3 linked regions of the Schizosaccharomyces pombe genome follow. The gene in region 2 interacts genetically with the main gene of each other region. Each region holds a gene or a part of one and is shown on either strand. Other genes may lie near its edges. The genes, in order: rpl3801, gst1 and rds1.

The links.
Region 1: mutations in gst1 (region 2) and rpl3801 together harm fitness more than expected from each alone (negative genetic interaction), as found in Schizosaccharomyces pombe (one large-scale study listed by BioGRID).
Region 3: mutations in gst1 (region 2) and rds1 together harm fitness less than expected from each alone (positive genetic interaction), as found in Schizosaccharomyces pombe (one large-scale study listed by BioGRID).

What each region holds. Positions count from the first base shown.
Region 1 is NC_003423.3:752,949-755,882, forward strand, and holds rpl3801 (60S ribosomal protein eL38), read left to right. Parts: upstream 1-1,688; 5' UTR 1,689-1,703; coding exon 1,704-1,706; exon of another isoform or gene 1,707-1,835; coding exon 1,836-2,022; exon of another isoform or gene 2,023-2,201; coding exon 2,202-2,236; 3' UTR 2,237-2,352; downstream 2,353-2,934. Other genes in the region: cym1 (metalloendopeptidase), read left to right, coding at 1-867; SPOM_SPBC577.03C (GCN5-related N-acetyltransferase), read right to left, coding at 2,612-2,934.
Region 2 is NC_003421.2:1,718,518-1,722,043, reverse strand, and holds gst1 (glutathione S-transferase Gst1), read left to right. Parts: upstream 1-1,973; 5' UTR 1,974-2,029; coding exon 2,030-2,719; 3' UTR 2,720-2,901; downstream 2,902-3,526. Other genes in the region: SPOM_SPCC191.10 (uncharacterized protein), read right to left, coding at 1-216. UniProt on the Schizosaccharomyces pombe protein: Involved in the oxidative stress response and detoxification.
Region 3 is NC_003424.3:1,665,641-1,670,170, forward strand, and holds rds1 (protein rds1), read left to right. Parts: upstream 1-2,098; 5' UTR 2,099-2,430; coding exon 2,431-3,639; 3' UTR 3,640-3,982; downstream 3,983-4,530. Other genes in the region: SPOM_SPAC343.21 (uncharacterized protein), read left to right, coding at 1,147-1,623; SPOM_SPAC343.20 (uncharacterized protein), read right to left, coding at 3,983-4,324. UniProt on the Schizosaccharomyces pombe protein: May have a function in stress-related responses of the cell.

The sequences.
Region 1 (2,934 bases), on a different chromosome or scaffold from region 2:
AAAGTTTCATCTGCATCAGGTCTCACCGAGAAAACAAGTATTACTGAACAACTTGGTGGTCTTACTCAAGTAAAGCTGTTAAGCCAGTTATCTAGAGAAGAAAGCTTTGGTCCGTTAGTCGAAAAGCTTACAGCTATTCGTGAAATTTTACGAGGCACATCTGGTTTTAAAGCTGCTATAAACGCAAGCCCTACACAACATGAAGTTGTTGAAAAGGCGTTACAAAAATTTATGAAGTCACGGGGAGTCAATCAACAAACTCAGACCAAATCGACTTCCAAGGAACGAAATGGTATTAATTCTATTAAAACCTATCATGAATTACCTTTTCAAACCTATTTCGCTGCGAAGTCTTGTTTAGGCGTTCCATATACCCATCCAGATGGAGCACCGCTTCAAATTCTTTCATCGCTTTTGACACACAAATATCTGCATGGTGAAATTCGTGAGAAAGGAGGCGCATATGGGGCTGGTCTTTCTTACAGTGGTATAGATGGTGTACTGTCTTTCTTTACTTATCGGGATTCCGATCCAATACGTTCTTTATCAGTTTTTGACGAGGCATCTGAATGGGCAACCACTCACGAGTTTTCTCAGAGAGATATAGATGAAGCCAAACTAGCAGTATTTCAAGGAATTGATAGCCCGGTTAGTGAAAGCCAAAAAGGAATGCTTTACTTTGTCGATGGGGTTACAGACGAAATGCTTCAAAATAGGCGAAAGCAGCTACTAAATGTTTCAGCGAATGATTTGAAGGCCGTTGCCAAAAAATATTTGGTAAATCCAAAAAAGAGCTATACCGCTGTTCTTGGCCCCAAGTCAGAGAAGCAATTACCAACGTGGGTGATTGATAAGTTTGAAAGTTGATTATGATACTATTTATCCTTACTCGAAAAGCAATACGTATTTTTTTTTTTTTTTTTTTGTAAAATGATTTAATGATTTTAGTGAACGAAAGCAATAATTATTTTGACACTTGAAAGGCAATGTTTAAGCTTCGTTGGAATTTCTCATGAGTTTATTTAAAAGTCGTTTCCGTCGTGGAACAAAAAATTCGTATAGAAGCACGCTCATATAAATCAAACTTCCTCTATATGTAGTAGTTAGTATGCTTTATCTTTATAATTCACAAGAATGCTGCTATGTTGTTAATACTTTGTAGACAGACAGATAGAGCCTTGATCCACATTTGGATAGGATGAAAGCATTTTATTGTAAAAATCTATTTTTTCGCAATTGATGTAATATAGTTTTCAAAAACGAAGAGCATAAAGTCGTTTGATCCTAATAGAAAGATGTAAAAGATATAGCAAATGGATATGTAAATCTATTGAAAACATTTCTTTGTTGTTACACTTCATCTATCAATTTCCAAAAACATTATGCATGGAAAAATTAAAGTATTAACTATAGATTAAGATATAAATATTGACCATCTCTTATTCTATTTTTTTTTAATTTTATTATCACGTACACTTAGTATATACCTGAGCTAAGCAATTTAAAAAACGAACTTCAATCTAACGCCCATTCAAGCAGTATAGTGAAGGATAGTGTTAATCCCCTTGAGCGAATACCGGCTGATTAAGAGCTCGTAATTTCTTTTTAACGAGTTACAAACCATTCGAGTTGTAAAACACAGTCACAGAAATTTTGATAAACTGGAAAGAATGAATTCTTGGTCTTTCACCAAGCTCAACAAAATGGTAAGTGAGATAAGTAGAGGTTTCAGCAGCTTATGGAAGAGAAAACTGTTTTCATCTTTCGTTCGTTAAAGTTGTCTCTGTAAAATATATTCAGTGTTAGGAATGACCATCGACTAATGCATGTTTTAGCCTCGTCAAATCAGTGACATTAAGCAATTCTTGGAGATCGCTCGCAGAAAGGATGCTACTTCTGCCCGCATCAAGAAGAACACTAACAAGGACGTTAAGTTCAAGCTTCGTTGTTCCAAGTACTTGTATACCTTGGTTGTCGCTGACGCCAAGAAGGCTGAGAAGCTCCGTCAATCTCTTCCTCCCGGTATGTTATATAAACTACTAAGAAAGATTAACTCAGTTACTTTTTATTGAGGGAACTACATTTCCTTAAAGCATTTTGCGAAGGAATTCTTCCTAAAGCGTTGATAATTCGTGAAACAAATGATCAGCTCTGAGTTAATCGTTCATATAAGTGAACTCAAGCTAACAAGTTTTCTATAGATTTGACCGTTACTGAGGTTGGAAAGAAGGCATAAAGTTTCTGGTTGAGTGATTAATGAAAAAGAAACCTCTCATGGTTTTTGCATTCAGTTAAAAACAAAAATTTTCTTTTTCAAAAGTAAAATGATCAATAAAGATTGTATTCATATTATTTTGTAATGTAATGTAAAAATCGAAGAGTAGAAATCGGTGAAATTATCCAAGTTGTTCACGAATTTTATAAGCAGACCCAATTCGCGATTATAAAATAAAGGTCTGTATGTAAATAATTGTTGTTGCGAGATGAGAGGTATAATTAGCCATAGGGTTGTGTAGAAAACAATTTTTAATAAACCCTTTTAAAGTAGTTCGCTGCATGTAACACTTGCATAAAGTAAACAAGTAAATAACTTTAAGCGTTGTTGCATCGCTTATGAAGTCCTCATTAGTTCAAGCTCTACATGATCAAAATAAGCGTTGTACTTAACTTGAGAGAAGCCCAATTTCTTGAATAGCCGAATACTAGGCTTGTTTTGGGAGCCAACTTTGACTCGATACTTAAGGATTTGCTTATTTTTGGCAATTCCACTGGATTCAACATAGTGCAAAAATGCATCTACAATCTTGGTTCCATATCCTTTCCTTCTATTCTGAGGCTCTGCAATCATCAATTCAAGTTCACCTACTATATGTACCTCTGACTCCTTCGTAGCATTGGTAGCATTAGCATCACTGGGAGAATCATCAAATTCTT
Region 2 (3,526 bases):
AAAGAGCCGAATTTTCGTTTGGAATTGCGAAATTTCCTGTCTCCCACAAGAAGATCTCATAATGTTCATTTTTGGGGATAATTTAGGAATCAAATGGGCATTTATTGCTTTTCCTGCATTCTTCTTGAAAGATGGATATTTCTCTTCCTTTTGATCCGAACGGATCAAAAGTCGTGCTGTCCACATATCGTTGTATTTCCGTCTGCTAGAATGCATCATCAGCAATCTAGACGTATCTTCTTGTTCTCGACATCCTTTTCCAAAAATTTTTAATTCTGAAATCTATCAGCAACTCCCTTAAACTCAAAATATCGATTCCTTTATCTTGAGGAGCGATGGATGGGCTAGAAATTTTGATTCAATAGGTAGGTTTTTTTTTTTGCAATTGCATTAGTAACTGTTTGGAGGTAAATTGAAATAACAAGCATTACTTAAACCCTTTGCCTTTTTTTTTGAATCTTTTTTTTTAAAAGGAATCGTTTGTAGAGTACTTTGAAACTGCAGCCTTAATTCAACGTCTTCTTGACTACCTTTATTTTCCAAATTATGCGAACCTCGCTTGCATGCGACTATACAAAAAATAAGGAAACCAGTCTCGCATAAAATTAAATTTAATTTTAATCTTCAAAGCATCTCGATTTCGCGGACTAGGATCCTGGATAAATGCGTTGAAACTAAGCCGATGGGTTGTAAGAATATGGGAAAAGCTGCAATGTATCACATTGAATAGTCAATTGAAGGACATGGAGCTTTGAGCTTGTTGAATGAATAAAAGTTTTTGATGAATAAACGTTATTAGACATGATTGTATTTATCGGGTTTCGACTTTAAAAGTTCAATCAATTAATGAAAGACGTAAAAGCTGGACGTTTATTGAATAATCCAAAAAAGGTTATTTTTATATACTTTTAAAAAGAAAAAAAATAGTATTTAACGGATATAAACATGTATTGGTTCATGTACTTGCTTTACTCTGATCAAGTTGGTGTATGCTTTTTGGTTTCCATTGCTCTTTTTCTGATTATAATGCAAAATTACTCATCGTGTTTGCAGTTATGTTGAATAGCTTTAAAATTTACGTATCGTATTGTCAAGGTAGTAAATGTAAACAAAAAATTTTCATAGGGAATCATTACCAATTCGCTTACAGAAATTAAACATATTACACTCACTGTATGATGAAAAATAAAGTAGATTTCGAAATAAGATTATTAGAGTGAAGAGAATTTTAAATTGATATGTGAGAAACAAAACTCCGTCATAACTAATCTTTACAGTTGAAAATCCAATTGTGAATCCCTAGCATGTTTGAATTAATATGTGCAGTAGTCTAAAAGCAAGTTTGACACGTTGGTTTTTGAACAGGTGGTGAACAAAATAAATCTCGAGCGTATGGTTGAGACTATTTTATTATTTTTATATTAACTTTATCATAAGATGTCTATTCAACTGACTCGTAAATTCTGAAAACTACATGTCTTAAGAACCTGAAACAGTTTTAATTGCATTTGAATTTGGAATTGCATTAAGCCGACCCTTTAAGAAATTAAATATAACACTAAGCATACGTTTATTTCCCACAAGGATTATACATAGTTAAACAAAACGAGAAGTCAGTCCCCACGCACTATATGTTGGTAGAAATTTTACATGAAATTTTGATGCATTACAAGATTGATTAAATGTAGCGTGTAACCGGCTAACAGGATTCAAATGTATTAGTAAATGGAATCGGTAGTAGATTTATCTTTCTTTGATCACGTTTTGACATAAATCATAACTTCCGGCTTGTCGTCAGCTAATCGAGTAAAATTTAGTTGAATCCACGTATGAGTCTAATGTATGATCGATTAGTAAGTTGGATGAAATTGATCAACTCGATTTCGGGTGTTTTCCAAAATTTTTCATAAATATTGCATACGCAATGGAAGTAAGAATTGTATATAAAATGGTAAAGATGCTCTTTATATTTTAATCCATTGCCAAACTCCTTTCATTTAACAATAGAACACACTCAAAATAAAGTATCATGGCTCAATTCACTTTATGGTCGCATGCTCATGGTCCTAATCCATGGAAGGTGGTTCAAGCGCTGAAGGAGTTGGACCTTACCTATGAAACCAGATATGTGAATTTTTCAAAAAATGAGCAGAAATCCCCCGAACACTTAGCCTTAAACCCTAACGGTAGAGTACCTACCTTGATTGATCACCACAATAACGATTATACCATTTGGGAATCTGATGCCATTTTAATCTATTTAGCTGACAAATATGATACGGAAAGGAAGATATCTTTGCCTCGTGACCATCCTGAATACTACAAAGTTATACAATATTTATTTTTTCAAGCTTCTGGCCAAGGCATCATTTGGGGACAGGCTGGATGGTTTAGCGTCTATCATCAGGAGCTAGTCATATCTGCCATTACCCGTTATAGGAATGAAATCAAACGTGTTCTAGGAGTCCTCGAAGATATCCTTAAAGACCGTGATTATCTCGTGGCCAACCGGTTCACAATTGCTGACTTATCATTCATTTCATGGAATAACTTCCTTGAAATTATTTTTGCAGAAGGAAAGTTTTCAATCGAGGAAGAAGTGCCTCAGCTCGACTTTGAAAAAGAGTTTCCTAGAACTTATTCCTGGCATCAAAGACTTCTTGCCAGACCTGCTAGCAAGGCTACCTTCGAAGAAAGATCAAAGGCTTTGGATAATTAAGTGAATTTGTGGCGTCTATCTTGATAATAACGTTCCAATATTTCAATTGATTGATTGATTCTTTATATTTCAAAATTCATGCATTGTTTACTTTCCTTTATGCATATAGATATAGACTCAACTTTTTCGTTTCATACATCAATTGTTCAAGTGCTCTTTCAATAATATCATCTTTAAACTATGATTTTCTACTATACATTCCGAAAATATATACAAAGCAGACCATGTAACATCCATCGTATTGCTCTTGCTAAAATTGGTATTTATTGTTTGGAAAAGCCAATCATCAAAAGTAAAAAATATAAAATGAAAGAAGGGATAGCTGTAATCATGTCGAAATGACTTGAGGCGCTAATTTTATTTTATTTTTTTATTGTTACTATCTTTTTATTTTTCTTATACTACAAGACCTTTTTTATTTTTTTTTTTTAAATAATGTCGTCAATTTATTGAGAAAAGTTCAATGATTTTATTAAATTTTTAAGTAAATTATAAATATTATGTCTAAAACAAAAGCTCGAATAAATAATAATCAAATATTGTTTTCTTTATATGTTGGGCAGGCTTGTCTTATATTTTTTATTTTAATTATTCTGAATATTGTAAATAAGATGAATTCAAATACTCATGAACACAAATATAATGTAGGGTATGAAGAAGTGATTCATTATCGAATTTAGAAAGGTCCTAATATAAAAAACAAAGAGAAAATCAATATAAGCAGTCGCTGTATATTAAATTATCCAATTTGCTTAATTCAAGAGTGTTCTTATAAAGCTCAAGAATATGATAATTAGTAACAAAGCA
Region 3 (4,530 bases), on a different chromosome or scaffold from region 2:
TTCCTATTCCTATTCCTCTTTTTTTCCTTCAATTAGTTACAAAATATCATAAAAAAATTTACAGATTTTATTTATTATTATTAATTATTATTATTATATTTTTCTTTTTTTTTTACCTTGTTTTCCCTCCCCACGTCTCTCCTTCCCGCACATATATATCTATTTATACTTTTCCAGAACGAGACCACAATAACGTAATGCAGTGAAGGACAGGGTGGTACTTCCACCAAGAAAAAACGAGTTTGCCGAGAAGATTCACCTTCCCAACGCTTTGCGCAAAGCTTCCCTGTAGCTGGAATAGGGTAAACGGCAAAGAGAAACCCAGCAGAGGGGACCAACCAGAGAGGAATGAAAATTTTCAGGAGAGGTAGAAGGAGAAGGAGAAGCAGGGCGAGAAGGTGTTAAGTTTAAGTATATGCAAGAGTTGAATAAGAGGTGAACAGAGATGAGCAATAGTGAAGGGCATAGTAATACGGTGTGTTTGGGTTACGAGGAAGAAATGGATGAGAAGGAAATCTATTAAAATTTATTGAATTGATTTTATTTTATTACATTGGAGTTTCTTTTAGAATTTTTATGTTTCATTACAGTACGCCTTTTTTTTTTCTCTATGCTTTTGCTTATTTTTCTTTTCTTTTTTTTCAAGTTTTATTTCCTATATACTTATTCTAATTTATTGGATTTTTTTTTTATTAATTTATTTATTTATTTATTTTCTATTATTTTATATTATTTTTTATTTGAATTTTTCTGCCCCCGCCCCGAAACACGGCAGCTGTAACATACTTCCCGCAAATGCAATACAATGCAATGCTTGATCGTTCCGTAAGTCTGACGAAAAGATGGTCAAGCTTATTGACGAGTCGATGGATGGTTGCGATAAGACTAGCTATGCCGGGGAAAAAGGCCGCGCCTTTATACAATCATGCAAACAATCAATGGTCGACAGAACGATTAAATCAATAAAGTTTGAATGAGTTAATAAAGTCGATTCAGTCAAAAATTCAAAAAAAAAATATCAAACAGTCTAGTCTAATCAAATCAAATAATCAAGTTATCAACTAATTCAAAAAATCAAATACTTTAAGTAAATTAATTGTTTGACTGAATCGATTATAGAATCAATCACCAATCGAATAGATAGATATGGTTAGCTACAATGTGCTAACTAAACTGTTTTTTATTTTCTCCGGAGGTTTGGTTTTTTTTTTTTTTGAATTTTTTTTAAATCATTTCAATTACTATCCTACCAAACTTTTGTATTACATTACATTCTATTTCATTAAAAATCATCCTTCTCTTTTTCTTTTATTTAATTTTTTTTTGTCCACAGCATCTTTTTCCTATTCTTTTCCCTCAAAGTCTCATTTAACTTTTTACTCAAAAGGTGCTCCCTCTGTCTTTTTTCTATCTCTCAAATCTTCCCCATGTCCCGGGTACTGCTCCTCTACTCTACTCTACTCTACCTCTAACTTGCTCCCTTCCCTCCCCTCCCCCCTCCATGCTCCTCCTCCACTCGGCTCACGTTTGCTTCACGTTTTTTTTTACCGTAGATCAAACGCATCGGCGTATCCTTCTTTTACGCCCCGCTATTCTTTTTTCCCTTCTTTCACTTTACGATGAGCTTCTCGCTATCTTTCTTACGGTGCTTTCTTCGCCTTGCTCCTTCACGTGCGATGATGAAATGGATGCGACATTCTATTAACATCGGCATCGGCGATGGCCAGCTAGACTTTTCGTCGCGTCGACATGCAGAGGTTTGATAAATAAATGTGCGTGCGTGCGCATGGCATATTTCTTTCGATTTTATTTTCGTCAAAATCATCATGCGATGAATGCCACTGATTTTTCTTTGCTCGAATACTCTGGCTCCTCGTCATTTTCTTCATCGCAACATCATCGTGCGAATTTCGCATGCATGGCGCTCTCGGCTTGTAAATCCCTATGCTTGGGAAAACGTAAGGGTTGGAAGCGATGATATAGTACCAAGTCACACGTCAAGCTGAGACCGATATACGTTCCAAGCTTGAGCCTATGACATGGTACTTCCGTCTTTATTCTCGTGGTATATATAGATCGCATTCACTAGCCTTACTTTAGCCGTCGCAAATTGTGTGACTTTGTTTTGCCCTTGTTTAAGTAAGTAAGAAAAAATAAACGAGCTTGTCTTGTGAAATATCAAGCCTACCTCTCTCTCTCTCTCTCTCTGTGCTTCCCTGCTACTCTACTCCTAATACTACTACTACTACCACGTTTGTTAGTTGTAGTTTTTTTTGGTTGGATTGCTATTTTGAAAAAGACCTCGTTCGTCGCTTCTTTTTATATTTTTAATTTCTTTTCGTGTCGGTGCGTGTGGAAAACCTAGTTGATTCTACCTTACCTTAATAAAACACTATCGCCTCTTTTTTTGTATATCTATAAATCTATACAATGGTTCAAGCTCTTACTGCTTCTTTAATGGCCGGCGCTCTCTTGGCGCGCGGTATCATCGGTGCTAAGGCCGATCCAGTTAACTTTGCTGGTATTGGCGGTGCCGCTTACGAATACAACTACACTGCTACTGGTTCCTTTAATCAATCTATCATGCCTGCTAACTTTACTCCTGCTGGCGGCATCGATACTAATGATAGCAGCCCTACTTATCACCCTTTCAGTGACTTTGACTACCAGTCCTTGTCTCTCGCTCTATACCACGAGTACATCGAGTACGACCTCTTCAACTACGGTCTCACTAAATTCTCTGATGCCGAGTTTGACGAGGCCGGCATTGACGCCGAGTACCGTCACTTGATTCGCTTCATGGCCCAACAAGAAATCGGCCACATCGAGCTTGTCACCAACATGCTTGGCCCCAACGCCCCCAAGGCTTGCTCTTACCAGTACAACTTTGACACTGTGGGCTCCTTCATTGACTTTGCTCAAACCCTTACTAAGTGGAGTGAATCCGGTGTCTATGGTTTCCTTCCCCACCTTGACTCTCGCGCAGCAGCTGCTCTTTTGCTTCAATCCATCACCACTGAAGCTCGTCAACAAATGTCTCTCCGTCAATTACAAGGTCTCTTCCCTTACCCCGTCTGGTTTGAAACTGGCATTCCTCAATCCTTTGCTTGGTCCTTGATTGCCCCTTTCATTGTTGGCTGCCCTGCCGAAAACGAAAAGTTGGTTTGGCAAAACTTCCCTGCCTTACATTTGGTTAGCCCTCCTGTTCACACTAATTTCACCAACGGCTCTTTCCCTCAGTACCCTAACGGTACCTACATGTATCCCGCCGCTGTCTCCACCAACCGTACCTTCCCTCTCTCTCTTCCCGGACAAAGCGTCGAATTGGCTTGGGATGCTCCCGGTATGGCTGTCGGTCCTAACAGCTCCTACATCACTTCCACCTCTGCCGGAACTCCTCGTTATGCTGCTTGGATTTCCCAATTGAACGTTACTTACGCTCCCTTAAACATCACCGGCAACAACAGCGGTGTTACCTACCAACCCAGCTCTCACCTTTACAACGACTCTACCCAGCAAGTCATTAACGGTACCAACTTCTTGGTTCTCGTTGACGAAGCTATCCCCGTCACTCCCTTCAACATCACTGCCATCAACGAGCACGTTGTTGCTGGTCCTCTTGTTTACGAGTCCGGATAAGCGTCTCTATCAAGGCAAACTCCCTTAGTTGCACATGTACACATCATGTAGATGATTGACTCAGTTGATTGAGCTCGTTTGTATATGTGGCTAGGTTGGAGCCTTAATAATTAGACTCGCCTTACCATGGATTTATTTCATCAAAAATCATACTCGTTCACGATTCTATCTATTGGCCTGTCTTCTTTTGGTTTGGATATGTGACCAACATACAAAAAGTTTGGTACGTCTAATCCAGCTTTGACCAACAGTCTTATGATTTTTTTATGACTTTTAAACCCCTGGAAGCCGTCGGCTACTAGGAAACCTTTAAACATAAAGGGGGAATTCCTCCTTTTAATATTTATTCTCTTTTCGGTGAATCCAACATTCCATTATTTATTCGTAGTCTTTTGTATTTGATTGATTGTAGTGCGTATAAGTCGGCGTGGCAGTAAATGAGCTTAGTAAGAAGTGAAGTATGTAAAGTAATAGCTAAGTAGTAAACAAATTTCGAAAACTTGGTAAAATTTGTTGTAGCGTAAGTCAATGAACGGAGTAAGCAGTGTCTTGGTACATATATATATCTGACGCGATGGTGTACGCAAAAGATGGTGGAGGAGTGGCTGGTTGATGAGGAGGCTGGTCCAAAACTCGCAGAGTTGATTTCGTCATTCAATTGCAAAGGGAGCATTGTAACTTTCATGTTTGAATCAATTGCATGTAATTTAAAAAAAAATATAAGAGACGGTTGTGATTGGAATGTTTTTGTAAAAATTCCAATTTGCTCGTTTCAATTTTCAATACAGTGAAAGTTGAAAAACGTTAAAGTATCTTAAAATGGTCTCACTACCACGTCCACAGCTTTTGCATCAAAGTTTCCTTTTCTAATGAGCATATATATACAGTCAA